2 linked regions of the Saccharomyces cerevisiae S288C genome follow. The protein of the gene in region 1 interacts with the protein of each later gene in a pairwise test. Each region holds a gene or a part of one and is shown on either strand. Other genes may lie near its edges.

Region 1 (9,731 bases):
CCAGGGTGTATGGTAATGCTTGAGAACCTAACCATAATACACCATCACAATCGAACAGAAACGTGTCATATTTGTCCAAGAATTCTTGAGCAATCTCCTTATTGGTTATCTTTATTGGTACACCTTGTTGAGCAGTCATTTTCCCGAGTTGTATATTCTTTGTCAGGGCAAGCTATAAGGCTTTTTTTGTGATTTGGCTCGAGCTTGATATTTATGTCTGCTTGTTATAAACCGATTGCGTCAATTACAATTGAAAAATTCACTAAAACGGAAAGAACATTCACCGAAAAAAAGAAAAACCGGAAAGTTAATAGATAAGGGACGTCATTAATATACGATTAAGTAAATACTGAAAACGTGCTGGAGAATAGTAAAGATGTCACATCACCATCTTCAACGTCTTCCTCTACAAAACTTGAGTTGATAAAGAAGCATAGTATACACAAACGTATGTATCTCTTCAGAGAACTATATCCTGTGAGGGAAGATGAGACCATTCCCCATTATACTTCTTGAACGGGTAGTTGCGTCGAACAATCTACTTCCTATTCATATCTAAATGTTTATATAAATATATGGCTTTTCTTATCCACAGCTCAAGCCACTTATATCAATGACGATGCCATGAATAAATTGTCCAGGTTAAGTAAATCGGAACCCAAGTCATGAATAATTTGGCGAGAAATAGTTTCCACCAGGTTAGCTGGCCAGGTTGGGGCTCCCCAAATTCTTGTTTTAAGTTTCAATGCGTGAGCACCATCAATTATGCTTTTAGCACAACTGATCTCATTCGAATCCATACGACCTCTTAGCGATACTTTCCAATGATCAGAACCACAATGTTTCATTAATTGGCTGAACGAAACCGTCGCAGCTACAGATAGCTTTGAGTATTTGGGCTCCAAACTTAACAACGGCGCATCTAGAAATGCAAACCTTTGACTTGACTCAAAATAGCCGTTATCATTTCCATTGTCTAAAATATCCAATGACGTCGGGTAGTTGCCCGTTAGTATCACAGTAACAGGTCTCCAAATAATTTCATCCTTCTTCATATCGTAATATGTCAAATATCCAGAATCAATCAGAGATTTGAAATATTGCTCCATCAGCAGTTTATAAGTTAGTTCGTTATCATCCGACTTGAAATCAATATAAAAGAAGAGTGAAGTTTCTGGAGAGTTGAAAAATACACCATTTTTGCGATCGGCGTCTGAATCTTGGCAATTCACCTCGTCTAAAATCTCCAAGAGGGGGCCAGTGTATAGCTTGTCTAATGTCAATTCAACTGGGTCCAAATACGCTTCATTATGACCCACAGCTAGGATCTTTTCATCTATATTCCACACGTCGGCTTCAGTACTACTAGCACCATAGGCCAGACCTTCAAAAAGCGGAAGTTTCCTCCAGTAGTCATTATGGGAGTGAACTGGCATTGGGTTAACATCTTTGTTCAACTTTGCGATAGCAGAGTCTACTGGTAAACACTTTTTTGAACTGGCACGACGTAAGATATATTCTTTGAATACATCATAATATAAAGAAACGTGTTTGTGACGATACTTTTCCTCTGAAAAACTTAGAAATGGCAAGTTTTCCTGGAAAAATTCTAAAAGATGTTGACCGGTCAACCCAAAGTTATCAATATTCGATATTTTCTGGTCCTTTAACTTTTCCCAATCAGTTAATGAAGGATTTCTTCCCCTACTGGAAAACAAAGCACAGACAGCAATAACGTATCCAATAAGAATAGTTAGACACCCTTTCAGTCCTAACATCGCTTAACTAAACCGAGGTACTTATCTTTGTTGGTCTTATCTCGAGTCATATTTTATGCCTATCCGGCGATTTATCACTCGGAAGTTTGGATAGTTTCGGATTATAAAAGGAGACAAGATAAGGATTTTAAAACAGGCCATTGGCAAAAGAACAACATTTTATTGAATGAATATATGAATTGGGCTGTCCTTTGAAGAGGATATGACAAAAAGTGATTTATTATTTGATAAATTCAACGACAAACATGGAAAGTTTCTAGTTTTTTTTGGTACCTTTGTAGATACCCCTAAATTAGGAGAGCTGAGAATCAGAGAGAAAACATCTGTTGGAGTTCTCAACGGAATCATCAGGTTTGTGAACAGAAATTCACTCGATCCTGTCAAAGATTGTTTAGATCACGATAGTAGCTTATCACCAGAGGATGTCACGGTGGTTGACATAATTGGAAAAGACAAGACTCGAAATAACAGCTTTTATTTTCCAGGTTTTGTTGACACGCATAACCATGTCTCGCAATATCCAAATGTCGGCGTATTTGGGAATTCTACCCTGCTGGATTGGCTAGAGAAGTATACCTTCCCCATAGAAGCCGCACTAGCAAACGAAAATATTGCGAGAGAAGTTTACAATAAGGTAATAAGTAAGACGCTTTCTCACGGTACAACGACTGTGGCTTACTATAATACCATTGATCTCAAGTCCACTAAGCTCTTGGCTCAACTAAGCTCCTTATTGGGGCAGCGTGTTCTTGTTGGAAAAGTGTGCATGGATACCAATGGTCCCGAGTATTATATTGAAGATACTAAAACTTCCTTTGAAAGCACTGTGAAAGTTGTTAAGTACATACGGGAAACCATTTGTGATCCCCTCGTAAATCCTATAGTGACACCAAGGTTCGCGCCCTCTTGTTCTAGAGAACTAATGCAACAGTTGTCCAAGCTAGTCAAGGATGAAAACATACACGTTCAAACCCACTTGTCGGAAAATAAGGAGGAGATACAGTGGGTTCAAGATTTATTTCCCGAATGTGAGAGCTATACTGATGTATACGACAAATATGGGCTGCTCACAGAAAAAACAGTATTGGCACATTGTATTCATCTAACAGATGCCGAAGCGCGTGTGATTAAACAGCGTCGCTGTGGTATATCTCATTGTCCCATTTCCAACTCCTCTCTGACTTCTGGAGAGTGTAGGGTTCGATGGTTGCTGGACCAGGGCATAAAGGTTGGTCTAGGCACCGACGTTTCAGCCGGTCATTCTTGTAGCATACTCACCACCGGAAGGCAGGCCTTTGCAGTTTCAAGGCATTTGGCAATGAGAGAAACTGATCATGCAAAACTTTCAGTCTCCGAGTGCCTATTTCTTGCTACAATGGGCGGAGCACAAGTCTTGCGTATGGATGAGACCTTGGGGACTTTTGACGTCGGTAAGCAGTTTGACGCTCAAATGATCGATACCAATGCTCCCGGCTCAAACGTGGATATGTTTCATTGGCAGCTAAAGGAGAAGGATCAAATGCAAGAGCAAGAGCAAGAGCAAGGGCAAGACCCTTATAAGAACCCACCGCTGCTTACTAATGAAGACATAATCGCAAAATGGTTCTTTAACGGTGATGATCGCAACACCACTAAAGTTTGGGTAGCCGGCCAGCAAGTCTACCAGATTTAGTTGTATATGTTTAGAGGGCTACTATATCTTGTTCCAAGTATTAATGAGTAATTTGAGTATATGTACAAATTTCTTTTGCGTATCGCGCTTTAGCCGCCCATTGTACAATATTAAGATTAGGAACACAAAGAGATTTGCCAGTGAAAGAATTGCAAAACTCGGTTTGGGATTTTGAATGGGATAGTTGAATACAACAAACTTCTCCGAATATGAATCATTGGTTAGCATTTTTGAATAAGCCTGAATCCCTAAAGGAACAAAACTCGGATTGCGACCAGCAGGGGGAGATGAGACATGTTACTGATGGCACTTTAACTAAGTCTCCAGAAAGTAAACCTTTTCGAGAGCGGCGTTCACAAACTTGGATAGACTCTGAAGTACCTACGTCCACTGAAAAATCTAATGTGCAGGAAAGTATTTCTTCTGATATTATATCAAAACTGTCGAATAGGCGTTCCCGAAGAAACCGCTCAGAGAGTTGGGCAGGTTCAGAAGCCTCTTCACCTTCTGGTAACATTAGTACATTGGAAAATGCTACGGAAAAAAATACTTTAAAATCGCCTAATAAATTTCTACAAAGGGGTGGTTTACCAACTGTAGGAATAGGCTCGCAGGCTCTGTCACCTGCAGGAAAGCCCAGTACATTAGGAAATGTAAGCCCTGGTAAATTTACCACATACAAAGTACACAATAGTATTGAAGTGAATAGATTTTCTTCTACACCTACAAAGCTCCTCACGAATCCCCACAAAGTCGCAGCAATCTCAAATGATGAGCATTATGTTGTAAGCAATGAGAGTCTGGAGGAGAATATAGAGGTTGCGCATCTAGAGAACGTATTTCGCTCATCTAAAACTCCAGATGAAGAACAGTCCGAATATATGAAATTAGGAGAAATTAGGCTATCTTCTTCATCATATGGAGGAAGTATTTCTAAAGAAAATAGTTTACCCAAGGTATTAGATGAGCTCCAGTCCCAAAATGAAGAGATCAAAGCACTAAGACAAAAACTAGAAGAGAAGGATGACAGGATTCAAGAACTAGAAGAACTTAATAGCATGAATGATGCTAAACTTCAAAGAATAGAAGACTTGCAGAAGGAATTCCACAACGAAAGAAAAGCTGCATCAAAAAGGCTCAACATTGTTCAGGACCGGTTTCGCAAAGAAATTAAAAAAATTAGAGAAGAAAAAATTACAGACTTTCAAAACAAAAACGCTAGCAAGAAGGAGAAGAATGAAGTGACTAGTGCCAAAACTAAATGTAAAGCTTTTTCTCAAAGAAATATTTTAGTTTCGGAACTATACAGGAAGCAAAAACAAATCCTAAACTTGCAGCAAGAAAATGATAAATTTCTAAAAGATATTAACGAATCGAATAACTCTATAGTAAAATTAAGATCTGAAGTTGAAATACTGAAAAGCAATTTGCAACTTTCTCAAGATGAAAATAAAAAATTACATGATAATGGTTCGTTTTACGAGAAAAGGTTAAATGATGTTTACAGCTATATGCAAAATCTTTCTCTTTTTGAGAAAGACCTTGGTAAATTCATACTAGAAGAAATGAAATGTGGCCATTCCCCTTCGATGTTTCAAAACGGTTTTGCCAAGCTTTATCCGGATTTTCAAGATATCAAAAATCTTGAAAATATGGAGCAATACAAACAATTAAAAGGAAAGATAGAACTTTTGGAAAAGAATGACCGTATACGTCTTGAAAAAATCATTTCTGTCTTTAAATTGATTAATGAAAGATTACATTTTATGCAACAGCAGCACAGTCACAAAATAAAATATCTTCAAAAAGAGGCGTTAACAAAAGAACAACAATTTCGTTTGGAAAAAAGGAGATGGCATGATATCCTGAACCTCAAGGAAGAAAACTTTCAAAAACTGAAGAGCGAGTTAAAAGAAAAATTAATACTAAGTGAAAAAATTCAGAAAAATGCCGAAGATAAATTGAACGATTACATGAATGAACACCAGGAAATTGTTGAGAAACTTCAGAATCAGGCTTTGATTGCTTCAAGATGGAGCACTCAAATTCAAGAGTCAGAAAACACACATAAGAAAATTACTGACGAGTTAGCTGGAAAACAAAGTGAAATATTAAAACTCGAAGAAACAATTCTATCACTAAAAGAAGATGTATTCCAAGAGAAGCTGAATTTAAAAAAACTATATGGTGATCCTTCTACCGAACTTAATTTTGAAACTGTTGGAAAATCTTTTCCACATATAACGAAGGAAAAGTACGACTCCTTGGGTCTTGATATTCTGACAGACCTTACCTATGTGCAATCGCAAAATCTAATCAAAAATTTATTAATTGTGTTGGATATCCCATTAAAAACCTTCTTAAAAATTGTACCAACAATTGTCATTCAACTTAGATGTGAGCTTACACTTCTCACAAAATTTGCTAATGATTTGAACCTTAAGGTTTTTGGTAAACAGTTAGATTTCAAAAGTAGAAGAAAGGTCGCAATGAATGAGTTTTTGAACAATCATGATATTGCTGAAGTAAAGCATCCTCTTGAGTATGATTTGCAAGCGTTGTTTAAATATTTCTTTTCTTAGCTTTTTTTTTTTTATTTAGAACTAATATATTCAATGGTGTCATTAATTATTATTTAGAGAATAAGTTACTGGTGGGGGGTGCACCTAAAATAAAGTCACATAATATAGAGCATGGCAGATATTTTACCGCTGGTATTGCTTTTCCGAAATTTTGGTGGAATATTCTTCTGAAAGATTTCAATTTGCTAACAGACTTCTTAAGCACTTACAAGAACAATGTAACTTCTGATCTGCTGTTGGAGATGTTCTGAGATATAAACAAAATTTACATCAAAAGGCGAGTAATACAATGATACAAATGATTATAAGTACATACTAATGTTACAATTTCTAATTCCATTTTAGTCAGAATATACTATGTTGTATAATAATAAAATAATGTCCATTTCCATAGCATACTGGTAAGATTTTATTGAAATAGGCAAAGAAAAAAGCAAAGAACTCTAATAAGAACGACAAACCTCGAAATCTGAGGGGAAGGAGAAGAAAAAAAGGAAAATGAGGGGAAACTTACAGTTTCTGCCTATTATTTGTTTATTTCACCTTGTATGACCGTTGTGGTCGAATCTTTGACTGTGACAGGAGTTTTTATGTCACATTCGGAATAATCGATTGTTTTACTTTGCATAACGGTGGAAATAAAATGGTTGATTGATTCGTAGTTATCTAATTTTTGTAACTGCACATCTTTTAAAAGATTCATTAAAAATTTCGGAACCATTGCCATTTCTTCATTGTGAGTAATCAGGTAATCAACTATCTCAATAGCCAAAAAGTAATTTTCTCCCTTGTTTTGAGCGAATGAATCAACTAAACCTGATTCTGGTTCGTCAGGGACGTTATCATTGGAAATTTCTTTATGTCGCAAATATAAAATATTAGGTGTTATGACTGTGGATAAATTGTGAATGTCCATTTTTGATCCCATTTCATTCTCAATGTAAGAGAATGAGGACGTCCAATGCAAAAATGACAAAAGTGCCTCCAGTAAATTGCGATTGTAAGTGGGTAATAAGGAATATATTAGCAATATAACACGCTGTTTCTCATCCTCTAAATCAATTTTCGCGGCCTTAATCCATAGTTCATATAAGTCTGTCGATAAAATCGGTTGGGGAAGCTCTCTGATAAATTTCTTCAAAAGAGCAGATAATTGGATTGCATTTTCTTTCGAGAAGTCTGGAGCTTCTGTTGGATTACTGTCGATGTTAGCAGTTAGTTCTCTCAGTCTTCTGATATTTCCATTTTTCCTGAAAATACCTTCTACTGACATATCCATTTGCCTCAAAGATGATATTAGCTCGTCAATAATTATGGGGATCCTAATCTTCACTGGCCCCACACCTAAATCGGAATCAACACCCCATTTCTCGCACAACACATCTAAAGGAGCACCAAAAACAGTCTTAGTGATGGGCTTTTTAGGCTCCATGCTCATCATGATTTTCATTCTGTTCCAAAAGCTACCTGTGACTTGCTTTTCATTCGAGAAGACCATTGAGACTAAGCTAGTATAGTTAGGATCAGTCTTCGATATCAGTTGTTTACCAGCTAGCAGTGACAAACTGATAGCCCTTATCATCGAGAGTTCCATCGTACTTAATTCAGAGTAATAAACTCCGCTTTTCTTGGGAACAACATTCGAAGTTTCGTCATCGGTTTCTTTTAGTTTTTTAAAGTGTGCAAAAGCGTTAGGTCTTAGCTCCCTTGCTTGTTCAGCGGCAACAATACGTGAAATATCATCTAGTGTCAACGTCTTAGTATTACTGAAAACATTTTCACGTGTGCTCACTTGTTGGCTCGATGATGGGTCATCTGTTTGAATCACAAGATTTTTACTATCTCCTTGTTTTGTCGGGTCATTTAAATCTGTCTCTGCAGTTTCCAGTATCACTGATTTTCTAGCTTGTTGTTTGTTATGAGTGACCCGAACACTTTCTCTTCTAGATCTCAATCTTTTAATATCATTCAGTGTCCTAATGTAAGTTTGTTCCTTTAGCATAGTACTCTGTAAAGAGTTTCTGCCTACCTTGTTAGATGCTTTCGATTTCAACATTACAGTTCTTGATTTGACTAGGGCAATTTTTAGAAGAAAAATTAGTTGTGCTAGCTTAGTAACAAATTTGAAACCCGGCACAGAGGCCGGATCATCAATTGAGCAGTGAGAACATAGTATCTTTTTTTTCTCTTTATTAAAGGTGGGATCCGTCAAACTCCTCGGATTTATATTCTTATGGCATGAAGAACAAGTAAAACAAGCAATATGCCACCGGTGCTCATAAAATTGAATGCATTCCTCCTGTATGTATTTATTGCATCCAGCGCAACTATCTGTGGCGTTAACAGGAGTCTTTATATACTGAAACGGGTTATTTTCAAAAAGCTCATTTTTCTCTACTTCTCTTAAAAACCTCAACAATGGATTAACAGAATGAGTCAACTTATTGTTTTCTAGAGCCGTATATAGCCCAAATCTTGTTAACAGTTTTAGAAAATGGGCTAATCCAGTAATAACAGACATAAAAGATGAAATTGTGATAGTTTCGTTTTTGTTTTCTGTCCCTAACTTTCTTAAGAGTTGTAAATATATCATAATTTTTGTGGACAGATTTTTGGGAAACTTGCTGTATTTACTGGCCGCCATTGCGTTGTTTTCAATGCATTCTTGATCACTGTTAACTGGCATACTTTTGTTCGTCGAGAGGTTTAAAGTATCCAGTCCCCGGAAAAGACAGTCGATTTTTAGTACCAACAGACCCGTAGACTCTATGCCCTTTAACTGATCATTGCTTGTCAAATATTGAAACATATCAGAAATGCAAGAAGCTGCCTCTTCCTCAAAACGATATAAAACCGACCACGTTTTAGATAGAATAAAGTTAAACGCCTGCATTTGTTTATCTAACTCGTAGGCAGTTGGGTTTATATCTTTGTCTCCGGAATTTGGGTTATATTCCAGCTTGGGAAGGTACTGCAAACCAACAGTTTCTGCTGCTAAATTTACATGCCAATATTTATGAATTCCATAACATTCCGGATGCCAACAATGTATTTCTTCACCTTTAGGAAACTCGATATATTGATCCGATATTGGGAACTCGCACCCTTTGCAACGTTTCGAAAAATACTTGAGAAAGTGGTACTTGCAATACAATTGGTTTCCGTACATGAAGCATTTTTTAACCCCACAAGGAGTAGCACATATTGTACAAGAAAAATGCTCTTCGTCGTATCTGTAACCGAATGCGGTATAATATAATCCACGCAATGGGGTATCACATACATGACATAACAAATTATGTCTTCTAAAATAATCGTATTGGCATAACAATATAGATTCACTTGTCTTGTCTACTTGATATGGGAAGTACTTCGGTTTTAAAGGTTTCTGACAGTCTTGGCAGGTAAAACAACTTTCATGATAATATTTACCGAGAGCCTTTAAAGTTGTTTTAGTTCGTTGGCTATCGGGTATAACTAACTTGTTACAACGGGCGCATATTTTCTTCTGATTCTTCACCTGCACGGTCATCGGAGATGCAGTATTCAGCGATCGATAACCAGCAGAATTTTGAATCATTGCTCACCTCCGGTACTTGTTGTTTGATAATTTGTCTGCTCTTTTTTTCTTTGGATTTGAATAAATACGGTTGCGTATATCTGGGATAAAGGCCAAATAACAATGTTAAGGCAAAGACG
Region 2 (9,123 bases), on another chromosome or scaffold:
TACCTTCTTTTGCAAGAAGAATTAAAGAATGTGTACAAGATTAAATGCCATGACAGAGTGCCAATAGAAAGTCTACGCGATAAGTGCAGAAGACACTATAGCAACGAGGATAGTTCGTTTCTCTGACAGAGGCAATGCCTTTTTTGCTTCACGTGTATATATATCAGTTGATATGCGTTTTCTATACAGACATACATGTATATACACACATATATATATATACATATGTACGCAGAGATATATTAAATGGGGGTTCTAGTTTCAACAATTTGATCTTTCAGTTTCTCGTCCCATTCCAGTTTCTTCTTCTGTATATAAGCGAAGACATCAGACATTCCAGTAGGGTCTATTTCCTGCGTCTTGATATATGGCATACCATCCCTAGAGGTAGCAGAACCGTATTTTACGTCTTGTTTCTCAAAGTTTGGATTGGCCAATCTAGTTACGTATACTGGGGCATTGGCAGCTTTATAACCATCAATATTGTGCCATGGAGACCCCAACAGCCTGGCCAAATAGAACAAGCATAGCATGCCGAAATAGGTGAAAAAATTCAAATATTCGGAGAAGGAATGGCTTGTAAATATGCCCGGTTGAACTACATACTGATTTATGCCCAGCTTTTTCAAGTCTTTGTAGGTGGCCAAATGCAGTAAATCAACTAAACGCTTGGAGCCCTCATAAGAGGCATTTGTCTTTAGTAGTTCAATATCGTTCAACGAAAGATACTTAGGATCGGACATAATACTCGAAATCCAAACAATATAAGCCTTTCCCCTGGTCAATTGAGGCAGAATTTTACTGATAAAGTAGTACGGACCAAACACATTGGCCTGGAAAATAAGCCCCATGTCATCTTTAGACTTGACGCCCACCAGTTGTATCTTGTATGTCGGATTTGTCACTGCCTCCAATGGATTGGTGAAAACCTCCTTGACCGCTCCGATCCAATCTATACCGTCAAAGATACCTTGCGCAGCATTCACGAAAAGGTAGTTTATCGCCCTGTACTTTTTGTTGATGTCGTAATATGCGTTCAAGACACTCACCATGTTGGTGAAGTCCACCAACAGATAATCAAAGTCTATTTCCAAATCCTCTACACGGCCTGATTTGTTGTAAAAATCTTTAATCTGGTTAATCACCTCCTGCACTCGAGGAAGCGTTCTAGAAGTCACCACAATGGTCAATCTGACATTGGTGTCCTCAGTTTCAATCAGACGGAACACAATGTTCAGACCAAGATTACTATTAGTACCCGTTACGATAGCTACTTTCCTGTTCATCCTATCCTCCTACTTTTTCTCTTTGCTACTTTTTTTCGACACAGATCATGTGCTTGTTTCTCGTCCTATCTTTTAAATACCTGCTCAATTCAAGATGCCGTTCTTTCGTTAAACGACCATAAATAAAGGCCCACGTACTATCGGAGATAAAACAACGGGTGTGCGAAAAGTGCCATTTATCTGTTATAACTGCTATATGCGGATACATAAACAACAAACACTTATACAAAGTGTTCAATGAACCTACTCCATAGAGTCTTGGCCATTCTCCTACCTATATACTTGCCCAGCAGGGGCAGCAGGACCCAGTTGAGCAGCTTGTTCAACTGTTGCAGCGACTCTTCCCATTGACGCTGTGCATCTGCGAGCTCGTTGCTGAGTGACGTGTCCTCGTCGCTGAGGTAACCATCTTCTTCCAGGCCCTCCACGCTGTTGATTGTGTCGATGCCCTGCAGGATCACAGAGGTATCCTCGCTATCTGCCATGTTCTAGTTATTGTTGCTCGTGCAGTGATGTGCTGTGGTGCTGGGGAGTGGTTTGCTCTGCCGATCTTGCTTGTAACGGCCGGCCGTTAAATGGGCCTTCGGGGTCCAAACGAGGCGCGGTTTCGTGAATCTTGCTTGGCTGTTTTTGGCTTGTTAATCCCAATTTGCGATAGTTTACGTTTCCACGGGGCACTGCTCAACGGGTTTAGTTCCGTGGAGCAGATGTGTTGCAGATACTAGTTGATATTTATGTTGATGTTGATCATTCTTGTGGCACAAAAGTATAAATAAAGCAGCGTGCTCTTTTTTGTACGTGGAGTAGTAGAAGTATATTCGCAGGTCTTTCTCTCATTGTTCAGGACATATACATACGTAAGCGTAGTTTTCTTCAGTAGAATGTGGACAAACACTTTCAAATGGTGCAGCAAAACTGAGAAGGAGACCACTACTGCAGACGCCAAGGTGTGTGCTAGCGTGCAGGGCCTGAAGGCCCTGCAGCAGCAAATTATGGATAGCACCACTGTGCGTGGGTCCGTTAATAACACGATGACTCCAGGCGGGATTAACCAGTGGCATTTCCACAATAAGCGTGCGAACAAAGTGTGCACGCCTACAGTACTAATCCATGGATACGCTGCCTCGTCGATGGCGTTCTACAGGACGTTTGAGAACCTGTCAGACAACATTAAAGATCTATATGCCATCGACTTGCCAGCCAATGGTGCCTCAGAGGCGCCAGCATTGCAAGTGAACAAAACCAAGAAGATCAAGTCTCTCAGGTTTAAGCATATAGAAGATGACGTAGTAATCCCTGTGATAGAGAAGCGCCCCCCAGCAGAGGACATCAAGTCACACCTGGAGCAGTACGAAAGCTACTTCGTAGACAGGATAGAGCAATGGCGGAAGGATAACAAGCTTCGCAAAATAAACGTGGTGGGCCATTCATTCGGAGGATATATTTCATTCAAATACGCCCTCAAGTACCCTGATTCCATTGAGAAACTGTGTCTCATATCTCCTCTTGGTGTGGAAAACAGTATACATGCTATCACCCACAAATGGGAGCCCAACACCACCTATCCACTTACGTTTACCGACCCATCGTCCCGATATTATACAAGAAAGCTGAACGTACCGCGGTTTATCTTTGAAAACCAGCTAAACGTTTTGAAGTGGATGGGACCCATAGGCTCCAAATTGTGCTCGAACTACATCTCCACCGCATACGTAAAAGTTCCGGATCAGATATATAAGGACTATCTTTTGCACTCATTTGTCGGGAAGAACCAGACGGTGCAACCACAGACAATCAAGGTGTTCACCCATTTGTTTGAAAGGAATCTGATCGCTAGAGATCCGATAATAAACAACGTTCGTTTTTTGAACCCAGCAACGCCTGTCATGTTCATGTATGGCGAGCACGATTGGATGGATAAATATGCGGGCTACTTGACTACTGAATCAATGCTAAAAAACAAGGCAAAGGCTAGCTACGTTGAAGTCCCTGATGCTGGCCATAATCTTTTCCTGGACAACCCGCAGCACTTTGCCTCTTCTTTAGTCTCGTTCCTGTCAAAGTAATGCCTATATAGAGTAGAGAAGAAAAATACAATATGGAAAACCACGCATATATATATATATATATATAAATACATACATATACATAATACATCACTTTACTTAACCGTATACAAGATAGAGCAACATATACATCAAGAGTGTAAACCTCTCATATGTGAGCGGATGTTCCGATCCATCCCGAACGAAACAAAGCAAAATCAACAAGTTGACATCGCCGTAAGTTTTCAAAAATAGCCCTTTTAAAACTCGAAGCTCTACACAATCGCAGCAATGATGTTGGAGCCTTCACCTCCACCTTTAACAACAACGGTAACACCCTCCCTTCCGTCCAGTTTAAAGAAATCTGTGACAGATAATGACCAGAATAATAACAACGTGCCCAGGAAGAGAAAACTAGCATGCCAGAATTGCCGTAGAAGAAGAAGGAAATGTAACATGGAAAAGCCTTGTTCAAACTGTATCAAGTTTCGTACCGAATGTGTATTCACTCAACAAGACTTAAGGAACAAAAGATATTCTACGACTTACGTAGAAGCTTTACAGAGCCAGATTCGGTCTTTGAAAGAACAGTTGCAAATATTAAGTTCCTCGTCTTCCACAATTGCTAGCAATGCTCTCTCCTCGTTAAAAAACAACAGTGATCATGGTGATGCTCCTAATGAAAAAATCTTAAAGTATGGCGAAACAGCACAATCAGCACTACCATCATCTGAAAGCAACGATGAGAATGAGTCTGATGCGTTCACCAAGAAAATGCCTTCCGAGAGCCCTCCACCAGTTGGCACAAATAGTATATATCCATCAAATTCCTTGTCTATAATAAAAAAGAAGACGGATGGAAGCACAAGATATCAGCAACAGCAGGTCAGCCTAAAAAATTTATCAAGAAGTCCCCTTATCTTAAGATCGTTGTCACTCTTTTTCAAATGGCTATACCCGGGACATTACCTTTTCATTCATAGAGAAACTTTCTTAAGTGCTTTCTTCGGTGATACTAACACTAAAAGTTACTATTGTTCCGAAGAATTGGTATTTGCAATCGCTGCATTGGGATCTTTGATTTCATACAAATCAGAAACTGAGCTTTTTCAACAATCTGAAGTGTTTTATCAAAGAGCCAAGACGATAGTACTCAAAAAAATTTTTCAACTGGAAGATTCTTCGTTAGCTGAATCGTCGTCCTCTTCGAAATTAGCAATCATCCAGACTCTATTGTGTTTGGCATTTTATGACATTGGAAGCGGAGAAAACCCCATGGCTTGGTATCTTTCTGGGCTGGCATTTAGGATTGCCCACGAAATCGGCCTACATTTGAATCCAGAAGCATGGAGTAATGTTTATGAAGACGAGCTGTCAATAATGGATTTTGAAGTGAGAAGTAGAATTTATTGGGGCTGCTACATTGCTGATCATTTAATAGCGATCCTCTTTGGAAGATCAACTTCCTTGCGTTTGTCCAATTCCACTGTTCCAGAAACAGACGAGCTACCTGAAATTGAGACTGGTATAGAGGAGTACATATATGACCCAAAAGTAATATTGTCCACTGCAAACCCCTTGAAGAAACTGATTGTGTTATCGAGAATAACGGAGATTTTTGCATCCAAGATTTTCAGCCCAAACGAAACTCTACTTCAAAGGAGTGAATACTTGGCCAAATTTAATCTGGAGGTATACAATTGGAGAAGGGATTTGCCCCCTGAACTACAATGGACCAAGAGGTCATTGATGGAAATGACAGATTTTAACCCAACCATAGCTTACGTATGGTTTCATTACTATATCGTGCTAATTTCCTATAATAAACCTTTCATATACGAAATCAAACAAAGCCGGGAATTGGTTGAAGGTTATGTTGATGAACTGTATTATCTTTTAAAAGTTTGGAAAAATAAATTTAAGACGTTTGAGAAGGCCACAATTTACATGATTTATTCTGCGATTTTAGCCATCCAATGCATGAAGTCCAACTTGATTAAAAAGGATAGAAAACAAGACTTCTTAAATTTTTTAAGTGCGCCTACCCTGAATTACGAACTTGCTAGAAAATTCATAGAAAACTCTGAAGATGCTTTGCATAATTCAGAAACTATGGATTTATTAGGGACTCTATCTCACGGTAACGATTTTGCCTTAGAGTACAATTTTGACTTTACTTTATTGAATGAGATTGATATGCTGATTGGTGGAAACACCAATGATGGTTTGTCGAAGTAATCTTGAGTGAAGAGGATATGTTTACTTGAACAAATATTCTTTATGTAATGTGTTTGTAGCCTTTTTATTTGGGAAGGAATATACCGCTATCCTTTCCCACCTCCGAACTTATCGATTCGGAATTTTAAAGAGCCTTCCAAATGACAAAAAAAAGGATTGTAGTTCCTAGATAGCGAAATCGACTGAGCAAGATAAAAGCAAACATTCCCCATCATCTTTGGCGACGACACATGTGTTCCATAAGCTAAACTCAAGGAGCAAATGATAGTAGATTATGAAAAGGACCCTAGGGCTAAAGAGGCTATTGCTATTTGGGAAAAAGGTGTACTGAAAGAGAAGGATGGGTCAATGTCAGATGCTATAAACTTCTATCGAAGTGCATTGAAAATCCATGATAATGTGGAATCACTGTACAGAAAAAAAATACTTGATGAGTGGATGCTGCACAAAAAACTATCGGGATTATCAATGACTACTGATGCTCCAGATGAACAAAATGAAACCGGTAAAGATGACTTATCTGTTGAAGAAAATGCTGAACTTCAACCCTGCTGGATTCTGGAAATCTTGCCTGACGACATTTTACTGAGAATTATTAAAAAAGTTATATTAATGTCTGGTGAATCTTGGGTGAATTTGTCGATGACTTGTTCCACCTTTAGCAAGCTTTGCTTCCACGATTCTGTGCCATTTAAAACTTTCGCGAAGTACATATATTCTAAGCAAATATACGACAAAATGGCAATGGATCTTAACGGAATCACCGATATAAATACCTTTGAAAAGGAAATATGGCGGGGTGATGATTATCGTATGTTAAGGGAAAGGCCATATATTAAATTCGAAGGTGTTTACATCAGTGTAGTAAATTATGTAAGATACGGTTCCAATGCAGAAAGTTCGTTATCTCTTTTAAAGCCAGTTCACATGATCACCTATTACAGGTATTTCAGATTTTATGAGAACGGCCAATGTTTGAGATTACTTTCTACAGATGAACCTAGCGCTGTCGTGAAGCACTTCTCCAAAGAGAACAAACCCAGGCATAGTCATATGTGTTATTGGAGCCTCGGATTTGATTATGATTTTGGTCATTTAAAGATAACAAGGTCAGATGAAAAGTATACGTTTATCGAAGAATTCCAAATCAAGAATCAAGGCAATAAGAGATATCAACGGTTGAAATGGCTAAGTTCAATTGTAGTGGATAAGGAAGGGAATGCATCTAACTGTTCGTTGAGAAATGAGAAATCTTTTTTCTTCTCCAGAGTGAAATCTTTCAAGGATCCTGGATGACATCGATGTTTTTTGCAGTTGTTTTACTTTATTTATTATTCTTATAGATTTATGTAGAACTATTATTTCATCATATGAAAGATTAAAGAAAGCAGATCTCAGCTTAAATAAATTATACTATAATATTAAAAAAAGATAAATATTAGATAATAAAAATTGAAAGACACACGTTGAAATATTTAGTAAGAACAACGTATCTATAGGTTTAATTCTTTTAAAATATACGATGCCAATTCTTTATATAGCCACGTATTACCAGAAACCTTTTTGAAATGTACACCTGCTAGGCCGACGATACGAACCTTTACAATGTGAATCTCAAATTTAATAGGAGGCCTTTCTTTTATACCAGAAGTATTGGTTTGCTCTGTTTGACCATTTACGTTATTTATATTTTGGGCTCTTGATGTTGTTAAAATATCATCCTGTTGTTGAACATAATCTAATGACATGGAAGATAGTTCCCCTGATGTACCATTACTTTGGTTTCCGTAGTTTGGAGACATTGGGATAGATGAATTTCTTTGATGTGTATTGGTCGCTAAAGGTGTTAGTGGTATATTATTCTGGCCCCTCTTATAAGAACCTTGGCGTTTTATCGAACTATTTCTTGATGCTGAGGACGCTGTACTATGGTAACTGGATGATAATTGACTGTCTAAACTATTTTGCAGATCCATCGCCTTTCCGGAATCCAAACCCACGCCAGTAGTGGTTATAACAGGGACAGCTGCAGTCTCAATAGATGGCCTTTGTTGGACACATATGAACCCGCCTTTCACTTCTTTGAAATCAATATTCATTCTTGTTAAAACAGATATGATATTGTGACGAACAATAGGCAATGGTTTAGAGGAGGTTGTTTGTACAGAGAAAAAACCCTTCAAAAACATTGACTTTGGATAATCAATTGATGGCATAGACCCGGGGGGTGCCTTTGAAGCTTCCTCCAAAATTTGCTTCTCAGTAAGCTCCTGAGAATACACCGAAGTCAGTCTATTGTTAGTATCGTTACTGTATGTGGTAGAATCTTCAGGAACGGTCGAAAAGTTACTGCTAACAGGATTGTATCTCTCCTTGTTTGCCTCTCCCAAAAAGCCGTTATCGTTTGTCATATCTGATGGCGGAAGGGCTGCTGGTATAGGCGGCCTAGTAAATTTCAAAGATTCACGACGAGCATGCCCCACCGATTTAGCCCTTGCACTAGGATGTAACTTACGACCCTTCGGAACGGAGAGATAATGGTCACTATTATCATTATTGATACCATCGACTACAGCGTTCACATTGTTGTTATCATTATCATTAATTTGTAATTTGTCGAGATTTTCCTGTAATAGTTTTTGCCGTTGTTTTTGAACAATTAGTTCGGCGTTCTGAGGTAAAGCTGGAAGATCACTGTTTTGCTTTTGTGATACTGACCTTATAGGAGGTGCTATGGTAGTGTTTTTAGCGGGTTTCTGTTTTACATCAACAGAATTTGGCACGTAAGATGGATATCTTCTAGCGCTAGGAATATAATCTGATATAGTACGACTATGGCTTTTCGGTACTTTGATGGAAATTTCATTTGATTTTGACATATATGTTGGAGGTTCTCTTTCTGGAAGAGGTTCCTGTTGCCGTGTGGGATGCTGAGATTGTCCACTTTGTGATATTCTTCTGAATATGCCGCCTATTGTATTCTTTTCCTGATGTTCACCTACTACGGGTGAAGCAGAACGTTGCTGATATTCGCCAGACACGGGGACTGGTGTTGATTTCAAAACACCATTTAATTCCGTATGAATGTCGGAACTCTTCCTAGATGTTGGAGAAGTATGCGCTTGTTCCGGTATTGTTAGTTTAGGAGGAACCATTACATGCAGTGGAGGTTTGTTTGAGGTATTAGTGTTGTTTGAGGTTCCCGATGTTCCAATTGCCGGCACTTGAAAAATACCAGGATTAGGTACTACTTCTTTCTGAGGGCTCCTCATTTTGGTCATAATATCCGGGGAGTTATTATTTAAGGCGACCTTAGTGCCAAGTGCTACTTGTTGCTGTTGTTGCCTTTGCTGAGCTTGCGCTTGCAGGGCCAATGCTTGCCTTCTTTGCAACTTCGCTAATTTCCGTGCAACCATTTCTGAAACCAAGTGATATATTGATAGTAATGGATGATATGCTAAAGTAGGATCTTCAAAATTACTATCTGGTTCATTATAACCACTTTGCGATGGATTACTTGTAATATGATTTTGTATTAAGGTTTGTTGTGCCGT

Evidence for each region.
Region 2: the proteins of ADY3 (region 1) and CHA4 interact in a two-hybrid assay, tested with the Saccharomyces cerevisiae proteins (2 studies listed by BioGRID).

Annotation. Positions count from the first base shown.
Region 1 is NC_001136.10:22,704-32,434, reverse strand, and holds ADY3 (Ady3p), read left to right. Parts: upstream 1-3,659; coding exon 3,660-6,032; downstream 6,033-9,731. Other genes in the region: PHO13 (4-nitrophenylphosphatase), read right to left, coding at 1-139; AIM6 (Aim6p), read right to left, coding at 606-1,778; GUD1 (guanine deaminase), read left to right, coding at 1,981-3,450; GTPase-activating protein LRG1, read right to left, coding at 6,559-9,612. UniProt on the Saccharomyces cerevisiae protein: Involved in the pathway that organizes the prospore membrane (PSM) during sporulation. Mediates the assembly of the DON1 ring structure at the leading edge of PSM during meiosis II.
Region 2 is NC_001144.5:333,973-343,095, reverse strand, and holds CHA4 (Cha4p), read left to right. Parts: upstream 1-3,622; coding exon 3,623-5,569; downstream 5,570-9,123. Other genes in the region: APC9 (anaphase promoting complex subunit 9), read left to right, coding at 1-126; ERG27 (3-keto-steroid reductase), read right to left, coding at 243-1,286; MIM2 (Mim2p), read right to left, coding at 1,508-1,771; lysophosphatidic acid acyltransferase ICT1, read left to right, coding at 2,168-3,352; SCF ubiquitin ligase complex subunit HRT3, read left to right, coding at 5,831-6,865; serine/threonine protein kinase KIN2, read right to left, coding at 7,063-9,123. UniProt on the Saccharomyces cerevisiae protein: Activates the CHA1 gene for L-serine dehydratase. Binds to the DNA sequence 5'-GVGGARAYRTRATTCCRC-3'.